2 linked regions of the Arabidopsis thaliana genome follow. The protein of the gene in region 2 interacts with the protein of the main gene of each other region in a pairwise test. Each region holds a gene or a part of one and is shown on either strand. Other genes may lie near its edges.

Region 1 (7,315 bases), on a different chromosome or scaffold from region 2:
GATCATAATAGTATCTTGTTTAACTCACATGCAGCAAAACGTCTAAAAACTGCAAGCATACTGTACTTCTTTACTTTCCAATAATTAAAATTTATATCTAATAAGAAAAATATATATTACTGTATAATCAACGAATAAAATCTCACTTATTTAAATTTCCTGATATATAAACATAGTCTTACAATTTATCATATTTTTATTTCAAGGCATTAATGATTTGTCGAGATGTTGTATTGATATGGTCATGTGAGGAGTGAATAGTTTATTTTTTTTCTTAGAAGACAATTTAAAGAAAATTAGAAAAGAGTTATTAAATTGAGAAGGAATATTTGGGAGAATGAAAAGGGAATTAGAAGCAAATATTTAGGTTCTTTAGGGTTCACTTGTTTTTGTTTATTAAGGGAAACAAACAAAATCCACTTTCTGGCTGAGTATTTTCTTAGGTCTAATATATATTTAACTTCACGTATAATCTAAAAGCATGCATGTTACGTTACAATAATTGATCGAATTCTTTATATGACACTTGGTTTATATACGTACGAGGGCACCTTGTATTGTACACACGTATGCATATATGTATGTATTTGAAGAGAAAGATACTTTCTAAGACAATAATTTCCGTACCTTTGGAAGGCAAAACACAGAGTTTATATATTCCAAATTAAAAGTGGGATAAAAAAATATAATAATTCTTTGACAAAAACATACGAATAGTTAAATACTATTCAATTTTGTATATTTTTCATTATTTTTCAGTATGACATATTTCTGTTTCACAGTAGATAAAGTCAACTCCATAATTTTTTTTGTAGAATTATAAACGAACAATGTGAATGTAAAAATGTCGAGTACAAAGAAAACAGAAACACTAGAATGCATACATTATTACATTCGACACAAACAAGTCAAAAATATATATAAATCTGCCTAATTTTATTTCTTTTCAAGTACGTATTTTAAAGCGACATGTATATGACTTCGATTTGGCTCTAATTGATAGACAACACAAAACGGTCAAACAAGTAGCCGGTTGATATTGTAGTCACATCTCTAGGAACTAAATGTCTATACGAGCTATTCATAAACTCAAGAACGTACTGATATTTAATGTATATTTATCTCTTTAGGTATAGTTGAACAATCTACGGTCAGAAACTTGAATTTGTTTGATTCCAAAATCGTATAAGGAATTATTATAATAAGATGTGAATAGAGAGTGAAGTGAGAAGCGAAGAGAGTGGGGGAGAAAATAAAAAAGGAGTCAGAGAGGACACAGTCTCTTTCTCTCTCTCAAGTCTCAACATATGTATCCCGTCGTCTCCGGGGTACCAAAATCAAAGCACTCTCTCTTTTTTTATTTTATTTTTTTTTGGTTATAATGAAACTTTTTATTTATTTTAGAATAGGTCTTGTGTTTGTTTTTTTCTTCTTGTTATTTATTTATTTAATTTAATTTTGGCTTTTGCTTTGACTATAGATTAGATAGGACAGAAGAGAGCGACCCTTTATTCTCTCTCCTCTTGTACTCTTCTCCAACATTTTTAATTATTATTCTTCATGATAATCTGTGAACATTATTATTTTAAAGATCAATTGAGTTTTTGATTTATTACTCAAATTGTTAAGGTTTTAATGGATGATAATCGTATTAATTTTTATTGTTAAAAGTTGTATGCTTTTCATCTATGAAATTGGTCGATTATTAAATACACTTTACATTTGAAAATTTCATCTACTAAATTGATAGAAAACAAGATTTATTTTGCTATTATTCTTCAACTTTATCTATGGAAATCAAAATTTCAGTAGTTTAAACGAATAAACTAAAACATGAAATCAATTAATCTAGCCGTAAAATAATTTATATTATATTGATAGATGGGTTTACTTGTTGAAAGGTGAAAAAGACAAATTGAAATACCATCCCAAAATAAAATAAAAAGCTTCCAATATTTGGAATATAGCGAATGACAATATTACCCTTTCTCAACTATCGTTTTCCAAGATATACTCTCGAGGAACAACATCTCACACATACACATACACATACATGTACATGAACGAACACACATATATCTCTCTCTCTTACCTGTTTTTAATTTTCCTGGATTTAGTTTTATTCCTTTTTTCTCTTCTGCCTTTGCTTCACAACACACATACCTCTCTCTATCTCTCTCTTCCTTCTTTTTCTCTCTCTCTGCGTCTTACTTTGAGCATGTTTGTTTCTTCAAGAAGATCATCACTCAACTTCTCTCTCTTCTTCTAAGCTTCTCTTTAACTTCATCTCTCTCACTTTCTCCTTTCTTTCTGAGATATAGAGAGAGAAAGAGAACAAAAAAAATATCAAATCTTTCAGACACCCTTTTGACTTCTTTGCCTAAAGAATCTCTCTGCTTTCTCTTCTCCTTAGAGAAAATCATTTTAAATTCCTAAGCAAAACCCTCAGGAGAAAAAAAAAACAAAAGAATAGTCATCATCATCATCACCATCATCATCCTTATCATCATCAACAACTTCAGTGGCAGCAATAGCAAGAGAAAGGTTTCTTTAATTATGTCTATGGAAGGTGTTTTTCTAGAGAAAACCAAAACAAACACAACAACTACTCTCCCTGATCTATCTCTCCACATCAGTCTCCCAGATATTCATCAATACCATCACAATGAATCTTCTAAAGAATCTTCAAGAAGATCCTCCCAACTCGAAAACAACAACCGATCGTCCAACTTTGAACTCTCTTTATCTCATCATAACCATCCAACAGCAAGAATCTTCCATTGTCCTGATCGAAGAACCCTTAATCTTCCTCATCAGCAGCATTACAACAACCCTATCATCAATGGTGTTCATCAAAGGGTCGATGAATCCGAGATTAGTAATCTCCACCGTCCAATTAGAGGCATCCCGGTCTATCACAACCGTTCATTCCCTTTCCACCAACAAAACTCTTCATTACCTTCTCTTGGAGGAGGAGACATGGATCAAATCTCAATCTTAAACTCATCTTCCGGCTACAACAACGCTTACCGATCATTACAATCTTCCCCGAGGCTTAAAGGTGTTCCTTTGCATCATCATCATCATCATAATCAGTATGGAGTCGTTGGATCTTCAGATTCGTCTTCTCCTCATCACCATAACCATCATCATCATGGGATGATCAGATCAAGATTCTTGCCTAAGATGCCGACAAAGCGAAGCATGAGAGCTCCAAGGATGCGTTGGACTAGTAGCCTCCACGCGCGGTTTGTTCACGCTGTTGAGCTTCTAGGCGGCCATGAAAGTACACATTTATATCATAATCACATTCTAATGATCATTCCCATTTTTCTTCACTTTATTCTCAAAGTCTTAAATCTTTTATTCTTGTTGTTGTTGTGATTCTAGGAGCAACTCCAAAGTCGGTTCTTGAGCTCATGGATGTAAAAGACTTAACTTTAGCACATGTGAAGAGCCATTTGCAGGTATAATCTATACTCTATTTGAAATTAAATTAGACACAACAAAGAATCAATTTTTATTTGTTAATTTAGGTTTAATCTAGTCGAGTTAGTTCGTTACCAATCAAGATTTTCTATAATTAGGGATATTTCATAGTTTTCATCACCATCATGTCACTCTCTTCTCCTTTGCGTTTTGCACAAAAACAGCTGAATCAAGAAACAAGGTTTTTGTGTACGTATATATCATCAGAGCAATGAATAGAGCTCCAATTCTGATGTGTTACTTTTATTTTCTTGTTTTGTCTTTGCTTTAAGTTTAGTCATATTTTGGAAGAGATGGCACAATTGCCAAGAAAATTGAAGCAGTTGAATGAATTTAAAGAGAGAAAAAGAGAGAGTAGTTATAGCTTTAAGTGACTGAAACCTTTCAGAGAATTATTAAACAATGGAGAATTGAGATGATAGATAGAAGTTATTTTGGATTATAATTCATTTTTTCTTTTTTAAATTAGGAAGAGGGGACAAAAGTAGTCATCATTACTCAATGATAATAATACAATCTTTCTATTACTCAACCTTCTTTCAGACATCAACCTCGTGGTCTTAAAATCATAAATAATTAATTATATATACATCATCAGTTCCAAGACAAACCCAGAAAACCACACATATGTACTACATATATTATTTATTTAATAATATAAAGTTCATATGTGTCTGCATATATCTCTCCAGTTTGTCATCTGTAATTCTGTATCACATTATACAAAAATAAATCTATTTAGTTTATCAGTATCTTTTGTCCGATATTTATTTTGGTTTTTTCCTGTGTCTTTAATTGGATTTATGGTTTATTCTAGTTTTAGAGCTCTCATCATGCCTTTAATTTTTTTTTTTTTGCAGATGTATCGAACTGTTAAGACCACTAACAAGCCTGCTGCTTCATCAGGTACGTGTGATTCCTTTACACACACACACACATATAATGTTATGCATATTCACATTTCTTTAGTATAGCTTTTTTCAGCTTTATATATGCTAAAGAAATGGTACTGGCTTTTAATAAGAAAGATATACAATTCACCAAAAAATAACATAAGACAGATATACAATAAAGCTTAGGATTCTCCACCAGAATTTTATAGAAATGGAGGTCCAATATAATCACTATTATAGCTTTTTTTGACTACAATATTTATAAGAAATTAGTTCTCAATCAGAATTTGAAGCTGTGATTCGATATTTGTATGTATGTAGAGATATAATGACGTGAAATTATTTCTGTTATTTTTACTATTTGATTCTACTATTTCTACTATTCCCTTTCCCCAAAATAATAAAAAACGAGCCCTAAGATATTGGTCAAGCTCAAGGCTTTTATCCTTCCTTTGATTGAACCCTAAAGTTGAGTGGTCAAAGTTCAAAGCAAACCAAACAAACATATATCCCCAATATTGATGTTCTCTAAGAAAAAAAAATCGAGTAAAAGATTAAATTTAAAACGTGTGAAGTGTAAACTCATATCCAAGCAAAGTTCATGAATTAAGAATAAAGAAAAACCACTTGTTTCATATGGATTTTCTTTAACCAATTAAAAGTTTATTTGGCACAATTTTCGAGTCTGTAAAACTATTTTTTGAGACACATATTAGGTTGGTCAACACGAAATGCTGAAATTATTTTTTAAGAAAAACAATTTCTTCACTGCATTGTCTTTTACAAAAAAGCTTACAAGAATCGTTCAGTTTTAAATGAGATTCCTTATAGGGTATAAGTGATTGATTTGAGACAACGAAACTTGATAAAAAGTTAAAATAAAATTTCAGATGGGTCAGGAGAAGAAGAAATGGGCATAAATGGAAACGAAGTTCATCATCAATCATCGACGGATCAAAGGGCACAATCTGATGATACTTCTCTTCATCAAGAAACTGACATTTCTTCCACACAACCTCGTTGGAGTAACTCTTCACGGTACGTTTACGTATATACGTACATGTATTATACACACGATAAGTATATATAAACATTAGGTAAGAATAAGATTGACGAAATTTGAGATAGGGTTTAGGGTTCTCTCACCTAATTGTTCCTACTTCCTACCAAGTAATTCATACGACAATTGTTTGGTTTATCCCACATCTATCCATTTTCTTCTAACAAAAATAGTTTTTAGATGATATTTTAAGTTTGTTTTCGTTCAGTTTAAGGGGAAAAAATTTGAGTGATGGTTTTGGTTACAATGAGATGAAATTGGTTAGGGTTTATGGCTGATGAACTTTAATTATATGTACCAAGTTTTTTTTTTTAATTATAATTTGGTTTGGGTTCTTAAGATTCATCTAGGAAGACTAGGATAAACGAATTTTGCTTCATAAGTATGACATGTAGATTGTGGTCATATAGCAAGTTGCAAAAAAACGCAATTTGTGTGTAGTGATTTTTATTTTATTTTTAGGGCATCTATACATCAATAAATACAATTTGTCCTTAATTTGTTTTCTTTCTTTTCTTAAATCATAAAATAGAGAGACATGGCCATTAAGTAATAACTGCTCAAGCGACATAGATACAATGATCAGAACTTCATCAACATCAATGATCTCTCATTATCAAAGATCCAGCATTCAAAATCAGGTTCTGATAATTCCCATCTAATCATATTTGTATAGATAGATATTGCCTTTCTTAGTGTTTTTTTTGTCCTTTAATCTAATATAAAGTTAAAATTGGCAGGAGCAAAGGTCGAATGATCAAGCAAAGAGGTGTGGAAATCTTAGTTGTGAAAATCCAAGTTTGGAGTTTACATTAGGCAGACCAGATTGGCACGAGAAATGACTTTCTTGATCAATTTGGATTTTTATATATATTGGATTTTTTATTTTTTTGTTTCATCTTTCTCTCTCTATATATACTCAGAAACATGTATGCAGTATATATCTTTGTGACGATGAAATTCTCAGCGTAAAAGAAGGAGAACACGTAGAGAGCCAAGCTGCTCAAGAGTGTTGATTTTTGCACAGAGAGAGAGAATATCACTACCAAAATGAAGAAATTTGGAGGTTCCTCTTCTCAAGTTCCATTGATGATTTGATTATAAAGTGGATGATCAATGTATGAGTTTTTGTTTTTGGGTTTTCGGGTTTTTAGTTTTTTGAGGTTGATCTGGTGGTGTGATCATAAGTTATATAATTGGAAGATCATCAAAATGTGGTGAAAGTTTGGATATTTTTTTGAAAGCCTCTTGGTTGGCTAGAGGGTTTCAAGTTTTTTTTTTTTTTTTTGCAGCCGAAATGTAGAGAGAGGGAGAGATCTGAGTTGAGATTTCATATGGATACTGATCATTATTCTTTCTTAAGTACATAAAACACACAATGTATGCATACATAGATCCAAAAATCCGTAGACATTGATCACAAAATGTTTCAAGTTGCATTTTGAAATATTCTTATCATTCTTTCTCTGCTTCTTCACAACAAACTCCATAGATCATATTTATATCAAGCTTCCATTAACAACCAAAAGTCGGGGTTTATTTACAAACGCGGTAAGGACGGATTCTCAGTTGGTTGATTCGATGTTTACCTCCCGGTCTTGGTGTTGATGACGACTGATAGTGTTACCTGAAATGGCTGATCCCACCACTGAAACCGATTGCTTAGCCAAGCGTAGGCTTCCTCTTGTTCCCAACCACACCGCATAGAAAAACCCAATCCAACCTGATCCAATACCAAATTCATTTCATTCTTCAATACATATAGGAAGTAACTTGGAGTGTCACTCATTACAAGATTCCAAAACAGAATCAGAGCAGAGTATATAACCAACCTGAAGCTATTAAGACAGAAACGACAGCAGAAACTGTAGCG
Region 2 (4,961 bases):
AAATATTTTAAAACAACAAAATAACGATTTAAGTTAAACGGAAATATAAAACTAGTATATTGATAAGCAGCCGGTTAACTCGGAAATTTTAACTACAAAAATAGAATTAATTTACTTTCGCTTTCATGGAAAGTCTAGACTTGGATGATTCCAAATATTCAAATGGAGGGGGAAAAAACAATCATATAATTGACTAAAAAGCTAATGATAACCAATCAATAAAAATGGAGCATCATGTTTATCTCTACATATACATACATGATACAAACAAACAAAACAAAGTATGTTTCAATTGAAATTAAATACTAATAATTAAAAAAAAAATTAAAAAAATAGGAAAGGAATTGTATAGAGAAACGAGAAAAAGTAATGGCAGTGGTAATTAAGGAATGACAACAACGGGTGAATGAGGCGACGCTTAATCACTCCCATGCACACGTCCCTTTCTTCCCCCCACCTCTGCCGCCCTCTCTCTCTCCTCTCTTCTCTTCCTCCATTGGGAACTGCGAATTCTATTGTCAAAGCTTTAAAACTTTTTTCACTTAAATTTTTTTTCAAGAGCTTCGTCGTTTCTTAACTTACTTGCAAACACATTACATGTGTCATCACGTGCAACCCCAACCCCAAAGCCTAAGCTCGCGAATCTTCTAATGTATGCCTCAATCTTCCCTTGTTCATACTAGTACTACAATATCTTCTTCCTAAGATTTCAAAATTGATCATGAAGTGGTTTGTAGTTTAGTGGTCATCGCTATATTGATCCAATCTCATATTTTTGTCGAAAGTTTTGTATAGTAGCTATAAATTTGATTCTTTAGTTAGAATTTCTTGTTCTATTTATATAGAAACATAAATGCCTATAGCTATTTTCATATATTAACATGTGCTTTTAATTGTATAGACCAAAATTTAATTGATTGCAAAATTAGGTTTGTAATTGTTTGAGATCAGATAGAAAAAGGTCCATCTTTAAGCGATAATATCCTCAAAACTATTTTGTCATCAGTCTTGTCTCCTTGTGACCACAAGGTCATCTTAGAGGTACAACGGTATAGATGCTTAATGTCTACGTTTTCTAGTAAGGGTGAGACCGCATGGTCAACCGAATTTCTAATATAGGCATTATCAAAAAGAAATCTTATATTGGATGTTGACAACAAAGATTTAATAATAACTCGCATCATTTGACTAATTAAAAATTAAAAAAGATCTAAGTGAGATGTATATTTTTATCAAAAAAAAAGAAGTGATATTTGTAAAGAAATTGTCCAATTCTTTTGTCAATTAATATTATGTTCAAAGTAATTTAACATTTGTTTAATATCTGGATCCACTTGTCAAGATTATGCATTTTGTGATAAATAAAAACAAAGAGTGCGGTATAGTGGTGGTACAATTCAATTGTTATGTGGCAATACAATTTATAAGAATATACGGAAAAGGTATAAAAAAAACTGTTTGTGAAAAAAATGAACTGCTTATTCAAATGGTGTTTAGGGTGTAGTTCCGAAACTTATTAAAAAAACTAATGTATGTTTATTTTATCGATCATAAATTTTATTCGGCCACTTGATTTAATGAAAAATTATATAAATAGTTATTGTCTTATTAAACACCGGCATATTTATTTTTATTTGGTTTGTGTTATCTGTTCTACACCATCCAAACTTATTCCATTTATGTTGCTGGTTCACTACCGCTGACTCTGTTATACTATTCAAAACCTAAAATTGTATATAACCCATTGGAGAATTTCTTTAAAGAATATATGTATCGCTGAATTGAAATGTATAATACACCACATTATATATATACACACAGTATTACCGAATTAATTAACGAAATTAATAGTAGACGACCTAGAGGCTACAATTAGAGCATTTGTTGTTTAATTTTTACCCTCTAATATATTAATATCCCCTTTCCCTTCTCACTCCTTTCACCTCTTCTCTCTCTATATATCTTCCTTTGTGGTATATAATACACAGCAACCCAACAATCAAGAAGATCAGATCATGGTGGGGTTTTTTATTTTCTCCTTATCAAGAATCCTCTGATCAGTCAAATACCCATCAATCAATCAAATCCCCAAACACTCCCAAAAAAAGATCAGCTTCCAATATTTTTCCCCTTCTTACAAAAAAGATGTCTATGTCGTCTATGTCCTCCCCTTCCTCAGCTGTTTGTTCACCGGACCACTTCTCTCCTTCCGACCATCTCTGCTATGTCCAATGCAACTTTTGCCAAACCATCCTTGCGGTACAAAATAACCTCTCTTCAATACTTTCTCTCTCATTTTTTCTCCTCCAACTTCTCATCTTCTTGATCTATACAAGATTAGGGGTTTTTTAAATTCATTGTTTCTTTTGTGTGCTTATAGGTTAATGTTCCTTACACAAGCTTGTTCAAGACCGTAACTGTCCGATGTGGTTGCTGTACCAATCTCCTTTCGGTGAACATGAGATCATATGTCCTCCCAGCTTCTAACCAGCTCCAGCTCCAGCTCGGTCCTCACTCTTACTTCAATCCCCAGGATATTCTGGTACTTAAACAAAATTCAAATACATAATCTTATAGGGTCTCATTTAGCTTATTGGAAGTAATCTCAAGCCTCAAGGATATAAATATTATTGTAGGAGGAGCTGAGAGATGCACCGTCTAACATGAATATGATGATGATGAATCAACATCCTACTATGAATGACATACCATCTTTCATGGATCTTCATCAACAACATGAGATTCCTAAAGCACCACCCGTTAACCGCCGTAAGATACTAATTCTTCTCACTTTTATGATATTAACTTCTATGCTAACCGTGTTTATAATTTGGTTGTGATGATGAATCGCCATTAAGACATGCATAGCTTTTCTTATTTAACTTTCACTGGATCTCGTTCAAACCCTAGCACCATTGAATTAAGTCTAGAAGGAGATTTTTTACCTTTCTTTTCTTTGTATACTAGAAGGAGACATGAGAGATTATGATTTTGTATATTTAAAATATTCATTGATCCATGAACTTTAGTATGTGTTGATTGTCTACATATCCTAGATGGCTTTTAGCGTTGGTAAACATTAAAATAGTGACGATAAAAGAAACGGGGAGATAGATTCATGGATCCCCCGGAAATCTAGCTAAAGAGAAAAAATCTATGTAATATGTTAGAAGATGGGCTTGTCTTTAAAAAAACATGATGAAGTGATGATGGGTTAGAGAGAGAAAGTATTTGTGTGAGAGAGAAAAAAGACAATGAAAGTAGTTTTAATGAGTGTTTGTCTCTTTCTGTCTGAGTTTTTGTTTTTTCGCTTTGTCTTTGCCGTTGAATTTCGCCATTGCCAGCTCCAGAGAAAAGACAGAGAGTCCCATCCGCATATAACCGATTCATCAAGTGAGTCTCTTATTTAATTTTTACAATCATTCATATTCTAACCATAACTGTGTAACATTAATATAATTCCTTGTCACGTTTTTATTTTAGGGAGGAGATCCAACGTATCAAAGCTGGTAATCCTGATATAAGCCACAGAGAAGCCTTTAGTGCTGCTGCCAAGAATGTAAGAACCTTATTTCTCACATCCCAAAAATTTATATTAAACTGTTATCCATTGGTTGAATCAAATTTTAATAATCAAAAGAGTCCTTGATAATCCATATTTATCTCTAGTTCAATAAAAAAATTATTTTTTTAAACGCTGAAAATTCTAGTTAGAAGTGATGCGTTTTAAGTATTCTTTGTTTTCCTTTACTAAAGAATTTAAGCCATTGATACTACTAACATCACAACTTGGTTTAGATTGCCGGCAGAAACTAGGGTTTGATTTTATCTATGCGTATAGTTGCTCTTGTATTAGTTGTATATATATTAAACAGTCATATATGTAGGTATAGCTGAAATTAGGAGTAAAGAATTTTGTCGGGTTATAACACAAGTTGATATGTGTCTTGTACGTATGTTGTTTATGTGTAATGCAGTGGGCCCACTTCCCCCACATACACTTCGGGCTCGTGCCAGACAATCAACCCGTGAAGAAAACCAACATGCCCCAACAGGTAAACCCTAATCTGTCGACATACCTTACATCTTTAATGCATATACTTTTATGTAATATCATATATACAAATATAATTTCAATTGATTTGGATCATATCTTAAACATGTGTGTAGGAGGGAGAGGATAACATGGTGATGAAAGAAGGGTTCTACGCTCCTGCAGCTGCTAACGTTGGTGTGACTCCTTATTAAAGAGATAAATATAATCGACTAAGTATTTGAGGAATTGAAATCCAATTTCTTAGGGTTTATCATGTCCAAAAGTTGTGGTTTCTTTTCCTTTCTTGAACTTATTTATATATATTATAAATATGCATGTGTCTTTTTCTGTTGTTGTAATCAAAAATCTTGCTAATTAATGGGGTTTCTTAAGTTAATTTTCATTTGTAGTTGTATAATTAATTAACTTATCAAAATGTTTTCTTATTATTACTGAAAGCCGAATTTGAAATTTAAATAATCAGACTTTTTTAATAGATTTTTACACCATCGCCATATGTAAAAGAAACTCAAAGGAAATTACAACCACCAATTAATCCAAAGCTTTTTTTCCTCCAGAATGAATATATCACAAAAATTTAACCGAAGAGAAAACAAGAGGGGAATGATCATATTACATTTCAAAATTCAAACTAAACTAAGAATGGAAATATGCACAAGCATTTGCTTCCCGAAAACATGTAAAACGATGTGATTCTGTTCAAATTTCTCCATTCAAAATCTGATTCTTGAGATTGTTGCATATGGTTCAATCTTATTGCTCCCATTAATGGTTTTATAATAGTGATATGGTATAATTAAATAAGAACTGGGGCATGCATCAAACGACAATTGTTGTCAAAATAGAGGGAAATTAAAAGTTAAGATAAATTTATTTCGTAAGATCAAAAATTCAGTGATAGCAA

Evidence for each region. The genes of interacting proteins can lie anywhere in the genome.
Region 1: the proteins of AFO (region 2) and KAN interact in binary tests that used the Arabidopsis thaliana proteins (3 or more experiments, as listed by UniProt).

The regions. Positions count from the first base shown.
Region 1 is NC_003076.8:5,406,334-5,413,648, reverse strand, and holds KAN (Homeodomain-like superfamily protein), read left to right. Parts: upstream 1-1,882; 5' UTR 1,883-2,556; coding exon 2,557-3,286; intron 3,287-3,390; coding exon 3,391-3,467; intron 3,468-4,349; coding exon 4,350-4,395; intron 4,396-5,272; coding exon 5,273-5,420; intron 5,421-5,974; coding exon 5,975-6,083; intron 6,084-6,182; coding exon 6,183-6,284; 3' UTR 6,285-6,786; downstream 6,787-7,315. Other genes in the region: AT5G16550 (voltage-dependent L-type calcium channel subunit), read right to left, coding at 7,008-7,165, 7,275-7,315. UniProt on the Arabidopsis thaliana protein: Transcriptional repressor that regulates lateral organ polarity. Promotes lateral organ abaxial identity by repressing the adaxial regulator ASYMMETRIC LEAVES2 (AS2) in abaxial cells. Required for abaxial identity in both leaves and carpels.
Region 2 is NC_003071.7:18,627,737-18,632,697, reverse strand, and holds AFO (Plant-specific transcription factor YABBY family protein), read left to right. Parts: upstream 1-1,918; 5' UTR 1,919-2,145; coding exon 2,146-2,259; intron 2,260-2,269; exon of another isoform or gene 2,270-2,380; coding exon 2,381-2,542; intron 2,543-2,636; coding exon 2,637-2,769; intron 2,770-3,344; coding exon 3,345-3,393; intron 3,394-3,483; coding exon 3,484-3,559; intron 3,560-3,977; coding exon 3,978-4,055; intron 4,056-4,170; coding exon 4,171-4,248; 3' UTR 4,249-4,446; downstream 4,447-4,961.